Linked DNA regions of Lonchura striata. The protein of the gene in region 1 purifies or fractionates together with the protein of each later gene. This does not show direct contact. Links are inferred from orthologs where the notes say so. Each region holds a gene or a part of one and is shown on either strand. Other genes may lie near its edges.

The links. The genes of interacting proteins can lie anywhere in the genome.
Region 2: the proteins of JOSD2 (region 1) and AHCYL2 purify together in Homo sapiens (affinity purification with mass spectrometry; 3 studies listed by BioGRID and IntAct, counting the BioPlex papers as one, with this or other methods). This does not show direct contact. The link is inferred for Lonchura striata from reciprocal best matches to the Homo sapiens genes JOSD2 and AHCYL2.

Annotation. Positions count from the first base shown.
Region 1 is NC_134640.1:1,544,775-1,551,890, forward strand, and holds the start of JOSD2 (josephin-2), read right to left. Parts: upstream 3,002-7,116; coding exon 2,980-3,001; intron 1,512-2,979; coding exon 1,262-1,511; intron 1-1,261. Other genes in the region: ASPDH (aspartate dehydrogenase domain-containing protein), read right to left, coding at 3,339-3,376, 3,501-3,652, 6,340-6,572. UniProt on the Homo sapiens protein: Cleaves 'Lys-63'-linked poly-ubiquitin chains, and with lesser efficiency 'Lys-48'-linked poly-ubiquitin chains (in vitro). May act as a deubiquitinating enzyme.
Region 2 is NC_134607.1:72,297,837-72,305,227, reverse strand, and holds the start of AHCYL2 (adenosylhomocysteinase 3), read left to right. Parts: upstream 1-4,385; 5' UTR 4,386-4,443; coding exon 4,444-4,830; intron 4,831-7,391. UniProt on the Homo sapiens protein: May regulate the electrogenic sodium/bicarbonate cotransporter SLC4A4 activity and Mg(2+)-sensitivity. On the contrary of its homolog AHCYL1, does not regulate ITPR1 sensitivity to inositol 1,4,5-trisphosphate.

The sequences.
Region 1 (7,116 bases):
CCAGAGACCCCTCCCCAAATTACCAAAGACCCCTCCCCAAATTAATGAACAGCCCAGAGACCCCTCCCCAAATTAGCAAAGACCCCTCCCCTAATTAATGAACCCCCACAGACCCCTCCCCAAATTAGCAAAGACCCCTCCCCTAATTAATGAACCCCCACAGACCCCTCCCCTAATTAATGAACCCCTACAGACCCCTCCCCAAATTAGCAAAGACCCCTCCCCTAATTAATGAACAGCCCAGAGACCCCTCCCCAAATTAGCAAAGACCCCTCCCCTAATTAATGAACCCCCACAGACCCCTCCCCAAATTAACAAAGACCCCTCCCCTAATTAATGAACCCCCACAGACCCCTCCCCAAATTAGCAAAGACCCCTCCCCTAATTAACGAACAACCCACAGACCCCTCCCCAAATTAGCAAAGACCCCTCCCCTAATTAATGAACAGCCCAGAGACCCCTCCCCAAATTAGCAAAGACCCCTCCCCTATTTAATGAACCCCCACAGACCCCTCCCCAAATTAACAAAGACCCCTCCCCTAATTAATGAACCCCCACAGACCCCTCCCCAAATTAGCAAAGACCCCTCCCCTAATTAACGAACAACCCACAGACCCCTCCCCAAATTAGCAAAGACCCCTCCCCTAATTAATGAACAGCCCAGAGACCCCTCCCCAAATTAGCAAAGACCCCTCCCCTAATTAATGAACAGCCCAGAGACCCCTCCCCAAATTCAGGGAACGCCACCAAGACCTTTCCCCACACCCTTGAGACCCCTCCCCAAATTCAGGAACCCTTCCCAGTGCCCTCAAAGCAGCCCCAAAACCCCCCAAAACCCCCTGAGACCCCTCCCCAAATTCAGAAAACCCCACCAAGACCCCTCCCCACACCCTTGGGACCCCTCCCCAAATTCGGGAACCCCCATGGGACCCCTCCCCAAATTCGGGAACTCCCCTGAGACCCCTCCCCAAATTCAGGAACCCTCCTGAGACCCCTCCCCAAATTGAGGAAACCTTCCCAGTGCCCTCAAAGCAGCCCCAAACCCCCCTAAAACCCCCTGAGACCCCTCCCCAAATTCAGAAAACCCCACTAAGATTCCTCCCCACACCCTTGGGACCCCTCCCCAAATTCAGGAACCCTTCCCAGCGCCCTCAAAGCAGCCCCAAACCCCCCCAAAACCGCCCCAAACCCCCCTGAGACCCCTCCCCGAATTGGGTCTGGGGTCCGGGGGCGGTTCCCCGAATTGGGTCTGGGGTCTCACCGCTGGCAGATGCGGTCGGCCGAGGCCTGGCTGAGCCAGGGCCGCTGCAGGAGGTTGTTGAGGGCGTGCAGGGCGCAGAGCTGCCGGCGCTGCCGCTCGTGGTACGGCTCCGCCGGGACCCCAGACCCAAATGCGGCCAGGACCCCCCCCAAATCCGAGAAGACCGCCCCCAAATCTGGGGAGACCCCCCCCAAATCCGGGGAGACCCCCCCCAAATCCGGGGAGAGCCCCCCCAAATCCGCCTGGGGGGCTGCAGGGAGGGGGGGGGGGGGGGGAAAGGGTGAGCGTGGGACCCCCGAGTTTGGGGAGACCCCTCCCCAAATTACCCCCGAGACCCCTCCCCAAGTCACCCTGAGACCCCTCCTCAAATTACCCCAAGACCCCTCCCCAAATCTCCTGAAATTCCCCCCAGGACCCCTCCCCAAACTCCCCAAAATTCCCCCAAATCACCCTGAGACCCCTCCCCAAATTCCCTCAAATTCCCCCCAAAATCCTCTCAAATCAACCTGAGACCCCTCCCCAAATTCCCCCCAAAATTCTCTCAAATAACCCACGAGACCCCTCCCCAAATTCTCTCAAATCACCCCTGAGACCCCTCCTCAAATTACCCCGAATCACCCCGAGACCCCTCCCCAAATTACCCTGAATCACCCCAAGACCCCTCCCCAAATCTCCTGAAATTCCCCCAGGGACCCCTCCCCAAATTCCCCAAAATTCCCCCCAAAATTCCCCCAAATCACCCTGAGACCCCTCCCCAAATTACCCTGAGACCCCTCCCCAAATCTCCTGAAATTCCCCCAGAGACCCCTCCCCAAATTACCCCGAATCACCCTGAGACCCCTCCCCAAATCACCCTGAGACCCCTCCCCAAATTCTCCCAAATTCCCCCAAAATTCCCTCAAGTCACCCTGAGACCCCTCCCCAAATCACCCCTGAGACCCCTCCCCAAATTCCCCCCAAAATTCTCTCCAAATCCCCCAAGACCCCTCCCCAAATTATCCCAATTCACCCTGAGACCCCCTCCCCAAATTCCCTCAAATTCCCCCCAAAATTCTCTCAAATCACCCCGAGACCCCTCCCCAAATTCCCCCAAATCACTGAGACCCCTCCCCAAATTTCCCCCAAGACTCCTCCTCAAATTCCCCTCAAAACTCTCTCAAATAACCCCGAGACCCCTCCCCAAATTCCCCCAAAATTCCTCCAAATCCCCCCAGGACCCCTCCCCAAATTCCTGACACACCCAAAGGTCCCCAAAATCCATCAAATACGCCCCAAATCCCCCCCAAACCCCTGAGACCCCCCCAATTTCCCCTCAAATCACCTCCAGGACCCCTCCCCAAATTCCTGGCACCCCCAAATTCCCCCCAGGACCCCCCAAAATCCCTCCCAGGTCCCCCAAATTCCTTCTAATCCCCCCCAAAATCACCCCGGGACCCCCAAATCCCCCTCAGGACCCCTCCCAAAATTCCTGGCACCCCCAAAACCCCAAGACCACCCTGACCCCCCCCCCCCAAAATCTCCTCAGGACCCCCAAATCCCCCAAAATCCTCCCAAAATCCCCCAAACCCCCCCAGGCCTCCCCAGCCCTTCCCCCCTCCCGCGGCCTCCACTTCCCTCCCCCCCCAAATCCCCTCCTGCCCCCCCAAAACCTCCTCGAGCCCCCCAGGACCCCCCGGGACCCCCCAAAATTCAGCCCCGGCCTCTCCCCCGCTCCTCACCCGGCGCCTCCTCCGGCGCCATGGCGGGCCGGAACTACAACTCCCGTCATGCCCCGCGCCGCGCCGACCAATCAGAGCGCGGCCGCATCCTCCTCCATCCAATCAGCGCCTTGACCTTCCTCCCTTAACGCTTCGCGCGCCAGCACCCACCAATCAGCAGCCAGAATCCCTCCCTCCCTCAGCGTTTCCACCAATCAGATCGCGGCTTTCCCCCCGCCGCCATTACAAGAAGGGCGCCGGCGCCGCCAGCCTCGGGCGGGTTGTTTGTTTTTTTATTTTATTTTATTGTCCCCAAAATTTGGCGACAACAAAATTTGTCCCCGCGGCGTCCCCGCTGGGTTTCCGCTCTCGCTCCTTCCTCAGCAGAGCTTGAGGCAGCCGCCGTGCCCGGTGCAGGCTGCGGGGAGGGGATAAATGAGCGACACGTGGAGGGGTGGCGCGGGTGGCACCGAGGTGACACCGGGGTGACACCGGGGTGGCACCGGGGTGGCACAGGGGTGGCACAGGGGACAGGGCCACACCCAGCACGCTGCTCCAGAAGCTGTGGCGGGTGGCGCTGCCCGTGACGTGGCCGGGCTCGGCGGGGTTGCGGCGGGTGCTGGTGACGGTGAGGGCGCGGCCACCCTCGGGGACAGCGGTGACATCCACGGTGACGAGGTGGCAGTCGGGGACACTGCGGGGACAATGACAGGGACATTGGGGACACTGAGGGGACATTGGGGACACTGCAGGGACAGGGACATTGGGGACACTGTGGGGACAGGGACAGGGACATTGGGGACACTGCGGGGACAGGGACAGGGACATTGAGGGGACATTGGGGACATTGGGGACAGTGACAGTGACACTGAGGGGACATTGGGGACACTGCGGGGACATCCACAGTGACGAGGTGGCAGTCGGGGACACTGTGGGGACAATGACAGGGACACGGAGGGGACATTGGGGACATTGAGGGGACATTGGGGACACTGAGGGGACAGGGACAGGGACAGCGGTGACATCCACGGTGACGAGGTGGCAGTCGGGGACACTGCGGGGACAATGACAGGGACATTTGGGACAGTGACAGGGACACTGCGGGGACAGGGACAGGGACACTGAGGGGACATTGGGGACACTGAGGGGACATTGGGGATACGACAGGGACAGGGACAGGGACATTGGGGACCCTGAGGGGACATCCACGGTGACGAGGTGGCAGTCGGGGACACTGCGGAGACAGGGACACTGAGGGGACATTGGGGACACTGCGGGGACAGGGACAGGGACACTGAGGGGACACTGGGGACACTGAGGGGACATTGGGGACACTGCGGGGACAGGGACAGGGACACTGAGGGGACACTGGGGACACTGAGGGGACATTGGGGACACTGCGGGGACAGGGACAGGGACACTGAGGGGACACTGAGGGGACATTGGGGACACTGCGGGGACAAGGACAGGGACACTGAGGGGACATTGGGGACACTGAGGGGACAAGGACAGGGACACTGAGGGGACATTGGGGACATTGGAGACACTGAGGGGACACTGGGGACAGTGACAGTGACACTGAGGGGACATTGGGGACACTGCGGGAACAGGGACAGGGACATTGAGGGGACATTGGGGACACTGAGGGGACATTGGGGACACTGCGGGGACAAGGACAGGGACACTGAGGGGACATTGGGGACACTGAGGGGACATCCACGGTGACGAGGTGGCAGTCGGGGACACTGCGGGGACAGGGACAGGGACACTGAGGGGACATTGGGGACACTGCGGGGACAGGGACAGGGACATTGAGGGGACATTGGGGACACTGAGGGGACATTGGGGACAGTGACAGTGACACTGAGGGGACATTGGGGACACTGGGGGGACAAGGACAGGGACACTGCAGGGACAGTGACACTGAGGGGACATTGGGGACACTGAGGGGACATTGGGGACACTGCAGGGACAGGGACAGGGACACTGAGGGGACATCCACAGTGACGAGGTGGCAGTCGGGGACACTGCGGGGACAGGGACAGGGACACTGAGGGGACATTGGGGACACTGAGGGGACACTGGGGACAGTGACAGTGACACTGAGGGGACATTGGGGACACTGCGGGGACAAGGACAGGGACACTGCAGGGACAGGGACACTGAGGGGACACTGGGGGGACATTGGGGGTGGCACTGGAAGGACAGGGAGGTGACACACACAGCACAGGTGCCACCCATGTGCCACTCAGGTGCCACAGGAGGTGACACAGGTGCCACCCAAGTGCCACTCAGGTGATCCAGGTGTCACAGGAGGTGACACACGTCACACAGGAGGTGCCACAGGTGCCACCCACATGCCACAGGAGGTGCCACACACGACACAGGTGACACAGGGGATGCCACAGGTGCCACCCAGGTGACACAGGTGCCACAGGAGGTGACACAGGTGCCACCCAGGTGCCACAGGAGGTGACACAGGTGCCACAGGAGGTGACACAGGTGCCACCCAGGTGCCACAGGAGGTGACAGAGGAGCCACATGCAACCCAGGTGCCACAGGTGTCACAGGGGGTGCCACAGGTGCCACCCAGGTGCCACAGGAGGTGACACAGGCACCACCCAAGTGCCACCCAGGTGCCATAGAAGGTGACACAGGTTCCACACACAACACAGGCGCCACAGCGGGTGCCACAGGAGGTGACAGCGGTGACACAGGAGGTGCCACAGGTGCCACCCAGGTGCCACTCAGGTGCCATAGAAGGTGACACAGGTGCCACACACAACACAGGTGCCACGTGGTGCCACAGGAGGTGCCACAGCCAGGTGACAGGTGCCACCCAGGTGCCACAGGAGGTGAAACAGGTGCCACACGGGTGACACAGGAGGTGACACAGGTGCCACAGGAGGTGACACAGGTGCCACTCAGGTGCCACAGGAGGTGACAGAGGAGCCACACGCAACCCAGGTGCCACAGGTGTCACAGGGGGTGCCACAGGTGACACAGGAGGTGACACAGGTGCCACCCAAGTGCCACCCAGGTGCCACAGGAGGTGACACAGGTGCCACCCGAGTGCCACTCAGGTGCCGTAGAAGGTGACACAGGTGCCACACACAACACAGGCGCCACCCAGGTGCCACAGGAGGTGCCACAGCCAGGTGACAGGTGCCACAGGTGCCACAGAAGGTGCCACAGGTGCCACCCGGGTGCCATAGAAGGTGACACAGGTGCCACACACAACACAGGTGCCACAGCGGGTGCCACAGGAGGTGACAGCGGTGACACAGGAGGTGCCACGGGGGTGCCACAGGTGCCACCCAAGTGCCACAGAAGGTGCCACAGGTGCCACCCCGGTGTCCCCCCCCGTCCCCGGGTGCCCACCTGGGGTCGGCCACCAGGCAGGCGGTGACGCCGTCGAAGCCGAGGCGCGGCGCCGCCAGGGCCGCGGCCGCCATGGCGTTGACGTTGTTGGGGACGAGGGCGCAGAGCGGGCGCAGGGGACCCCGGTACAGAACCGTCCTCGTCCCCGAGGCCACCGCGGCCGCCACGCGCGGGGACAGCCAGCCCCGGGCGCGGAAACTGCCCGCGGCCTTGGTCATCGTCACCGTCAGCGCCTGTGGCACGGGGACAATGTCACTGTCACCTCGGGGACATGGGGTCATTGTCACTGTCACCTCGGGGACATGGGGACATGGTCACTGTCACCTTGGGGACAGCCCGCCCCGGGCGCGGAAACTGCCCGCGGCCTTGGTCATCGTCACCGTCAGCGCCTGCGGCACGGGGACAATGTCACTGTCACCTCGGGGACATGGGGACATGGTCATTGTCACCTCGGGGACACGGGGTCATTGTCACTGTCACCTCTGGGACATGGGGACATGGTCACTGTCACCTCAGGGACACGGGGTCATTGTCACTGTCACCTCTGGGACATGGGGACATGGTCACTGTCACCTTGGGGACAGCCAGCCCCGGGCGCGGAAACTGCCCGCGGCCTTGGTCATCGTCACCGTCAGCGCCTGCGGCACGGGGACATTGTCACTGTCACCTCGGGGACATGGGGACATGGTCACTGTCACCTCTGGGACATGGGGACAATGTCACTGTCACCTCAGGGACACGGGGTCATTGTCACTGTCACCTCTGGGACATGGGGAC
Region 2 (7,391 bases), on another chromosome or scaffold:
GGCAGTTCTGGGGACAACCGGGGCCTTTGCCTGCAGGTGGCACCACGGGCTAAAATATCCCCCAAACCCCTAAAATTTGGGTAGCCCCAAATTTTGGAGTGCTCCTGGGTGGGGTCCCACTGAAGCATCCAAAGTTTCCCACAGCGCTGGTGCTTTCTTTTGGGGGGAAAAATGCTGCTTTTGGAAAAGATCCTTTTCTTATTTTGCTTGAGAGCCCTGCAGCTGCAGGGTTTGGTTATCCTGCAAACCAAACCCTGAAATTTAGGTGGAATTGTTCAGTGAAAATTGCATTTTTCCAGTGTTTGTTATTTTTTATTTTTGGGCTGACCCTGCTCCAGAGTCAGAGCTGGATGGTCCGGGATGAAACAAAATATTTCTCTTTATCTACTTTTTTTGGGGCTATTTATTTTCTTTCTATATATTTTATTTCATAGCTTTCTTGGTGAAAATCCCAGTTCTAACAAAACTATTCCTACAAGATTTGCCATTTTGAAACAAAACCACCAAAATATTTTCATTTTGGAAGCAGCAGGAGATGTGCTGACGACATCACATCCCCTCCCAAAAAACCCCACCTGGATTTTGTGCAGGGGGAGAAAATGTTGAAGGAGTTTGCCAAAATCCAGCAAATTTCCCTGAAATATCCTTAGGGAAAAGCTCCAGCATTCCCATGGGAGGTGCAGGAGAACGAAGTGCAGAGGGTCACACATCTCCCAACACCTCCAGAGGTGAAAAACGGGGAAATTTCAGGAAATTTGGGTAATATTCCCTGTGGATTCACTGATTCCCTGTGTTTTCACTGAACCACTGATCCCTAGGGAGAAATGTTGGCATTTTCCACCCATCTGGTGGAATTAAAAGGATGAAATCTCAGCCGGACCAGAAAACAAACCTGGAAAATGCAGGTTTTTCCTCCTGCTCTACCTTAATTCTGTTTGTGGGAAAAACCAAGCTCTGCTGTGGATCTACGGCTCTCGAGGAGGATTTGGAATTTTGCTTTTCCAAAGCTGTTTTCTCCCAAACTTCCAGGCAGAACCATCCCAGCCTGGTGTCAGGGAGCGAGGGAGGGAGGCAGCCCCGAGCTGCCTGCTTCTCACAGAGCCCCAATTGTTGGAGCCTCCCTCCCCAAACTTCCCCTCCTGATTTCTGTTGTTTTCCCAGATAAATCACCAGGCACGGCCTGGATCCCTGGGATAACCTCTCTGATGCCTCAGGGTTGAGCTTTTATATTTTTGACATTCTGAGCTGCTTTGGTGTGTGGGTCTGGGCTTCACATGATGGGATGCTGAGCTCTGTGCGCAGAGCAGGGACACAAAACAATTCCTGCTCCAGCTGGGCACCAAGGACAAATGATCCAAACCTCAGCCCAGGAGCACAAACACCGTGGGCTGGAGAGAGAAAAACAAGCAGGATGGGACTGATGGGCTGGAGCTGGAATGGGAATGAACTCCAAGGTGCCAATGGAGCAGAACTGATCCCAGGGAGAGCCCCGGGAGCGCTCGTGCATTTTGGGGCCAGTTTGGGTCATTCTGGGTTCATTTTGGGACCATTTTGGTTCATTTTGGGACCATTTTGGGTCATCTTGGGTTCATTTTGGGACCATTTTGGTTAATTTGGGTGCAGCCCTGGCTGGGCTCTGGTGCTGCCCAGGGTGGATCCATGGAGGAGATCCTTTAATAAATCCCTAATTTATTCTTTAGTCCAACCTCTGCTCTAGGTCAGGTTCTCAAGGCATCAGCCCTGGCATTTATGCCAAATCAACACCAGTTTTGGGGCTGCTGGCAGCAGCACAGGCTGTTTTTCCCAGGAAAACACCATCCCTGCCAGTCTCCTGATTTTAGGAATATCCTTTAAAAGGTGAAGAAGAGCCCACCTGGAACCAGGTGGGCTCAGGGTCAGGATTTTGCCCTGGTGAAGGATGCCCAAAACAACCTGGGATCTTTTTGTGGGATCTGAGATGATAAATTCCAGAGGATTTCTTTATCTCCAGGTTGGCACAAGCTCCTCTCAGAGACGAGAACTCAGGGTCAGGATTTTGCATTTATAAGTGATTTGCAAAACAATCTGATGGGTTTTTTGTGGGATCTGTGGCACCAGGAAATGATAAATTTTAAAGGATTTCTCCATCCTCAGGTCGACACAATCTCCTTCCTTCAGCACAGGAGGATCAGGGTCAGGGTTTTGCCTTTGGTCAAAACAACCTGGTGGGTTTTTGTTTTGGGTTTTTTATTTTTTTTTCCCCCTGGGATCTGTGGTACCAGGAAATGATGAATTCTGGAGGATTTCTCCATCTTCAGGTTGACACAAGCTCCTCCCTCAGCAGAGGAGGGGATTTTGCCTTTGTCAAAACAACCTGGTGGGTTTTTGTTTTGTGTTTTTGTTGGGGTTTTTTTGTTTTGTTTTGGGGGGTTTTTTTGGTGGTTTTTTTTTTTGTTGTTGTTGTTTTTTGTTTTGGTTTGGGTTTTTTGTTGGTTTTTTTGTTGTTGTTTTTTGTGGGATCTGTGGCACCAGGAAATGATAAATTTTAAAGGATTTCTCCCATCTCCAGGGCAGCAGAAGCTCCTCTCCTCCGCAGAGGAGGATCAGGGTCAGAATTGAGAATTAATTAAGCTCTCACCCACCAGCAGCTCCAAGTTCTTCTCTCAGAGCTGGTATCAATCAATAACAATAATAAAAGCACTCCAGGAGAGGCACATTCCCAAAGAACTGGATTGAGAAACTTCAATCTTCAATTAATCTTCAATTAAAACTTCAATCATTAACTGTAAATCACAAACGTTGTGGTTTAGCACTGGTTTGTGCCTCTGTGGCCAGTCCCAGGTTTTTGGATGGCACGTTCCCCATGCCAGGATGTTGTGGTTCCTCATTCCCAAGGGTTTTCCTGGCCTTGGTTGGGATTGATGGTCTGGGAGGGTTATTCCGACCCTTTGTCTCTGAAATTCTGTAATTTCAGCCAAATTTTCCCATTGGGATGGCTTTAGTGGGACATCTTCCTTGCTGGTGGCTCTTGGGGACATGGATCAGTGGTGGCCTTGCAGTGGTTGGGCTTCATTGCCTGGGAGGCTTTTCCAACCCCAATGGCTCCGAAATTCCGTAATTTTGGTCCAGGCGTGGGGAGATGCCTGGCCAGACCGTGGCACCGTGGGGACACCGAGTCCTGTGACGGATTGAGTCCAGAGAAGGGACAAAGGAGCTGGGGAAGGGAATGGAGCCCGGGAGGGGCTGAGGGAGCTGGGAAGGGAATGGAGCCCGGGAGGGGCCGAGGGAGCTGGGAAGGGAATGGAGCCCGGGAGGGGCCGAGGGAGCTGGGAAGGGAATGGAGCCCGGGAGGGGCCGAGGGAGCTGGGAAGGGAATGGAGCCCAGGAGGGGCCGAGGGAGCTGGGAAGGGAATGGAGAATCTCTGAGGGAGCTGGGAAGGGAATGGAGCCCGGGAGGGGCCGAGGGAGCTGGGAAGGGAATGGAGCCCAGGAGGGGCTGAGGGAGCTGGGAAGGGAATGGAGCCCGGGAGGGGCCGAGGGAGCTGGGAAGGGAATGGAGCCCGGGAGGGGCCGAGGGAGCTGGGAAGGGAATGGAGCCCGGGAGCACCTGAGGGAGCTGGGAAGGGAATGGAGCCCAGGAGGGGCTGAGGGAGCTGGGAAGGGAATGGAGCCCAGGAGGGGCCGAGGGAGCTGGGAAGGGAATGGAGCCCGGGAGGGGCCGAGGGAGCTGGGAAGGGAATGGAGCCCGGGAGCACCTGAGGGAGCTGGGAAGGGAATGGAGCCCGGGAGCACCTGAGGGAGCTGGGAAGGGGCTGAGCCTGGAGCCAAGGAGGCTCAGGGGGACCTTGTGGCTCTGCACAAGTCCCTGCCAGGAGGGGACAGCCGGGGGGTCGGGCTGTGCTCCAGGGAACAGGGACAGGAGGAGAGGGAACGGCCTCAGGCTGGGCCAGGGCAGCCTCAGGGGGCATTTTGGGGAAATTCCTTCATGGAAAGGGTTGTCAGGCCTTGGCAGGGGCTGCCCAGGGAGGTTTGGAGCTCCCATCCCTGGAGGTATCCCAGAAATTCCTGGAGGTGGCACTCAGGGCTCTGAGCTGGGGACACAAGGTGGGCATCGGGCACAGCTTGGTCTCGATGGTCCTGAAGGTGTTTTACAACCTCAATGCCTCTGCGATTCTGTGCCCAGCGGCCGAAACACTGAAAATCCACCAAAACGTGAAAAAAACCCAAACAACCAAATAACGCCGTTCACGGCCCCTCGCGGACTACAACTCCCGCCAACCCCCGCGCGGCCGCGCTGCGGGGGGCGCCGGGAGTTGTAGTCGCGACGGGGCGGAGCAGGCCCGGCAGGACTACACGTCCCGGCATGCCGCGCGGCGGCGAGGCGGCGGGGCGGGGCGGGGCGGGGCGGGGCCGGCAGCCCTGAGGGAGCCGGAGCCGGAGCGGCGCCGGAGCAGCTCGGCGGCGATGTCGGTGCAGGTGGCGGTGGCCGCGCCCGCCGTGGAGCTGAAGGAGCTGGGCGGCCCCATGGACAAGGCGGCGGGGCCGCCGTGCGAGCCTGCGGGCGCTCACGCAGCGGGGCACGGCGTGGCGGCGGCGGCGCCCGCCTGCCCCGTGCCGGGCGGCGAGCGTGAGGCGGCCCCGGCCCCCTGCGCCGAGCGGCCTCCGGGCAGCGGCTGCCCCGGGCTGTCCTCGGCCGCCGCCAAGGCGCCGCAAGCCTCGGCCATGAAGAGGAGCGACCCGCACCACCCCCAGCACCGGCACCGCGACGGCGGCGAGAGCGGCGGCGCCGCGGCCGAGGCGCTGGTGAGCCCCGACGGCACCGTCAGCGAGGCGCCGCGCACCGTCAAGAAGGTAACGGGGGCGGCGGCGGCGCGGAGCCCTCCCGGCGGGCCCGGGCCGTGGGGTGCCGCTGTGGGGGTGCCCCGGGCTCGGGGGGTGTCGGTGAGCCGGGGGTGCTCCGCGGCTCTGCTTGCGTTTTGGGGAGGTGTTGTGCCGTGCCTGGCGGCGCGTTTGCGTCTCGTCCCTCCCCGCTGCCGGGTTTGTGCACTGGGGACGTGGGGGGTGACGCTGGGTGCCCTTGCACCCCATTTCTGCAGCCCCAGATGACACTGGGTGCCCTTGCACCCCATTTCTGCAGCCCCAGATGACGCTGGGTGCCCTTGCACCCCATTTCTGCAGCCCCAGATGACGCTGGGTGCCCTTGCACCCCATTTCTGAACCCCCAGGTGACGCTGGGTGCCCTTACACCCATTTCTGCACCCCCAGGTGTCTCTGGGTGCCCTTACACCCCATTTCTGCACCCCCAGGTGACACTGGGTGCGTTTACACCCCATTTTTGCCCCCCCAGGTGACTCTGGGTGCCCTTACACCCCATTTCTGCACCCCCAGGTGACTCTGGGTGCCCTTACACCCCATTTCTGCACCCCCAGGTGTCTCTGGGTGCCCTTACACCCCATTTCTGCACCCCCAGGTGACTCTGGGTGCCCTTACACCCCATTTCTGCACCCCCAGGTGACTCTGGGTGCCCTTACACCCATTTCTGCACCCCCAGGTGTCACTGGGTGCCCTTACACCCATTTCGGCACCCCCAGGTGTCTCTGGGTGCCCTTACACCCCATTTCTGCACCCCCAGGTGTCTCTGGGTGCCCTTACACCCCATTTCTGCACCCCCAGGTGTCTCTGGGTGCCCTTACACCCCATTTCTGCACCCCCAGGTGTCTCTGGGTGCCCTTACACCCCACACCTGCAGCCCCAGGTGACTCTGGATGGGTTTGCACCCCATTTCTGCACCCCCAGGTGTCTCTGGGTGCCCTTACACCCCATTTCTGCACCCCCAGGTGACACTGGGTGCCCTTACACCCCATTTCGGCACCCCCAGGTGACACTGGGTGCCCTTACACCCCATTTCTGCACCCCCAGGTGACACTGGGTGCCCTTACACCCCATTTCGGCACCCCCAGGTGACACTGGGTGCCCTTACACCCCATTTCTGCACCCCCAGGTGTCTCTGGGTGCCCTTACACCCCCTTTCTGCACCCCCAGGTGTCTCTGGGTGCCCTTACACCCCCTTTCTGCACCCCCAGGTGTCTCTGGGTGCCCTTACACCCCACACCTGCAGCCCCAGGTGACTCTGGATGGGTTTGCACCCCATTTCTGCACCCCCAGGTGTCTCTGGGTGCCCTTACACCCCATTTCTGCACCCCCAGGTGACGTTGGGTGCCCTTACACCCCACACCTGCAGCCCCAGGTGACTCTGGATGGGTTTGCACCCCATTTCTGCACCCCCAGGTGTCTCTGGGTGCGTTTACACCCCATTTCTGCACCTCCAGGTGACACTGGGTGCCCTTACACCCATTTCTGCACCCCCAGGTGTCTCTGGATGGGTTTGCACCCCATTTCTGCACCCCCAGGTGTCTCTGGGTGCCCTTACACCCCATTTCTGCACCCCCAGGTGACACTGGGTGCGTTTACACCCCATTTCTGCCCCCCCAGGTGACTCTGGGTGCCCTTACACCCCATTTCTGCACCCCCAGGTGTCTCTGGATGGGTTTGCACCCCATTTCTGCACCCCCAGGTGACTCTGGGTGCCCTTACACCCCATTTCTGCACCCCCAGGTGTCTCTGGGTGCCCTTACACCCCATTTCTGCACCCCCAGGTGTCTCTGGATGGGTTTGCACCCCATTTCTGCACCCCCAGGTGACACTGGGTGCCCTTACACCCCATTTCTGCACCCCCAGGTGTCTCTGGGTGCCCTTACACCCATTTCTGCAGCCCCAGGTGACACTGGGTGCCCTTACACCCCATTTCTGCCCCCCCAGGTGACTCTGGGTGCCCTTACACCCCATTTCTGCACCCCCAGGTGTCTCTGGATGGGTTTGCACCCCATTTCTGCACCCCCAGGTGACTCTGGGTGCCCTTACACCCCATTTCTGCACCCCCAGGTGTCTCTGGGTGCCCTTACACCCCATTTCTGCACCCCCAGGTGTCTCTGGATGGGTTTGCACCCCATTTCTGCACCCCCAGGTGACACTGGGTGCCCTTACACCCCATTTCTGCACCCCCAGGTGTCTCTGGGTGCCCTTACACCCATTTCTGCAGCCCCAGGGTGTGTGCAGGTTCACATCAGGTTCACGTTCCCAGGGTTATCTGGGGAATGTGGGGAAGATAAAAACGTCCCAGGTGCCACCGGTGACGTTGGCACGGGGGGCAGGGCCAGGTGTGCCCACGGCTGGGTGTGGGGTGTGTCGGGGGTGGATTTTGGGGTGCCCCTCTCCCGGGGGTGCCGTGGCCTTGCAGCTGCAGCCCAGGAGTGTGAGGAGCTGTGGATCCTGGCGAGTTCCTCCGTGTGTCTGCAGCTCCTCAGGTGGACTCCGCTGCTCCCTGGAGCAGGGGGGTTGTTGTACCTGCTGTG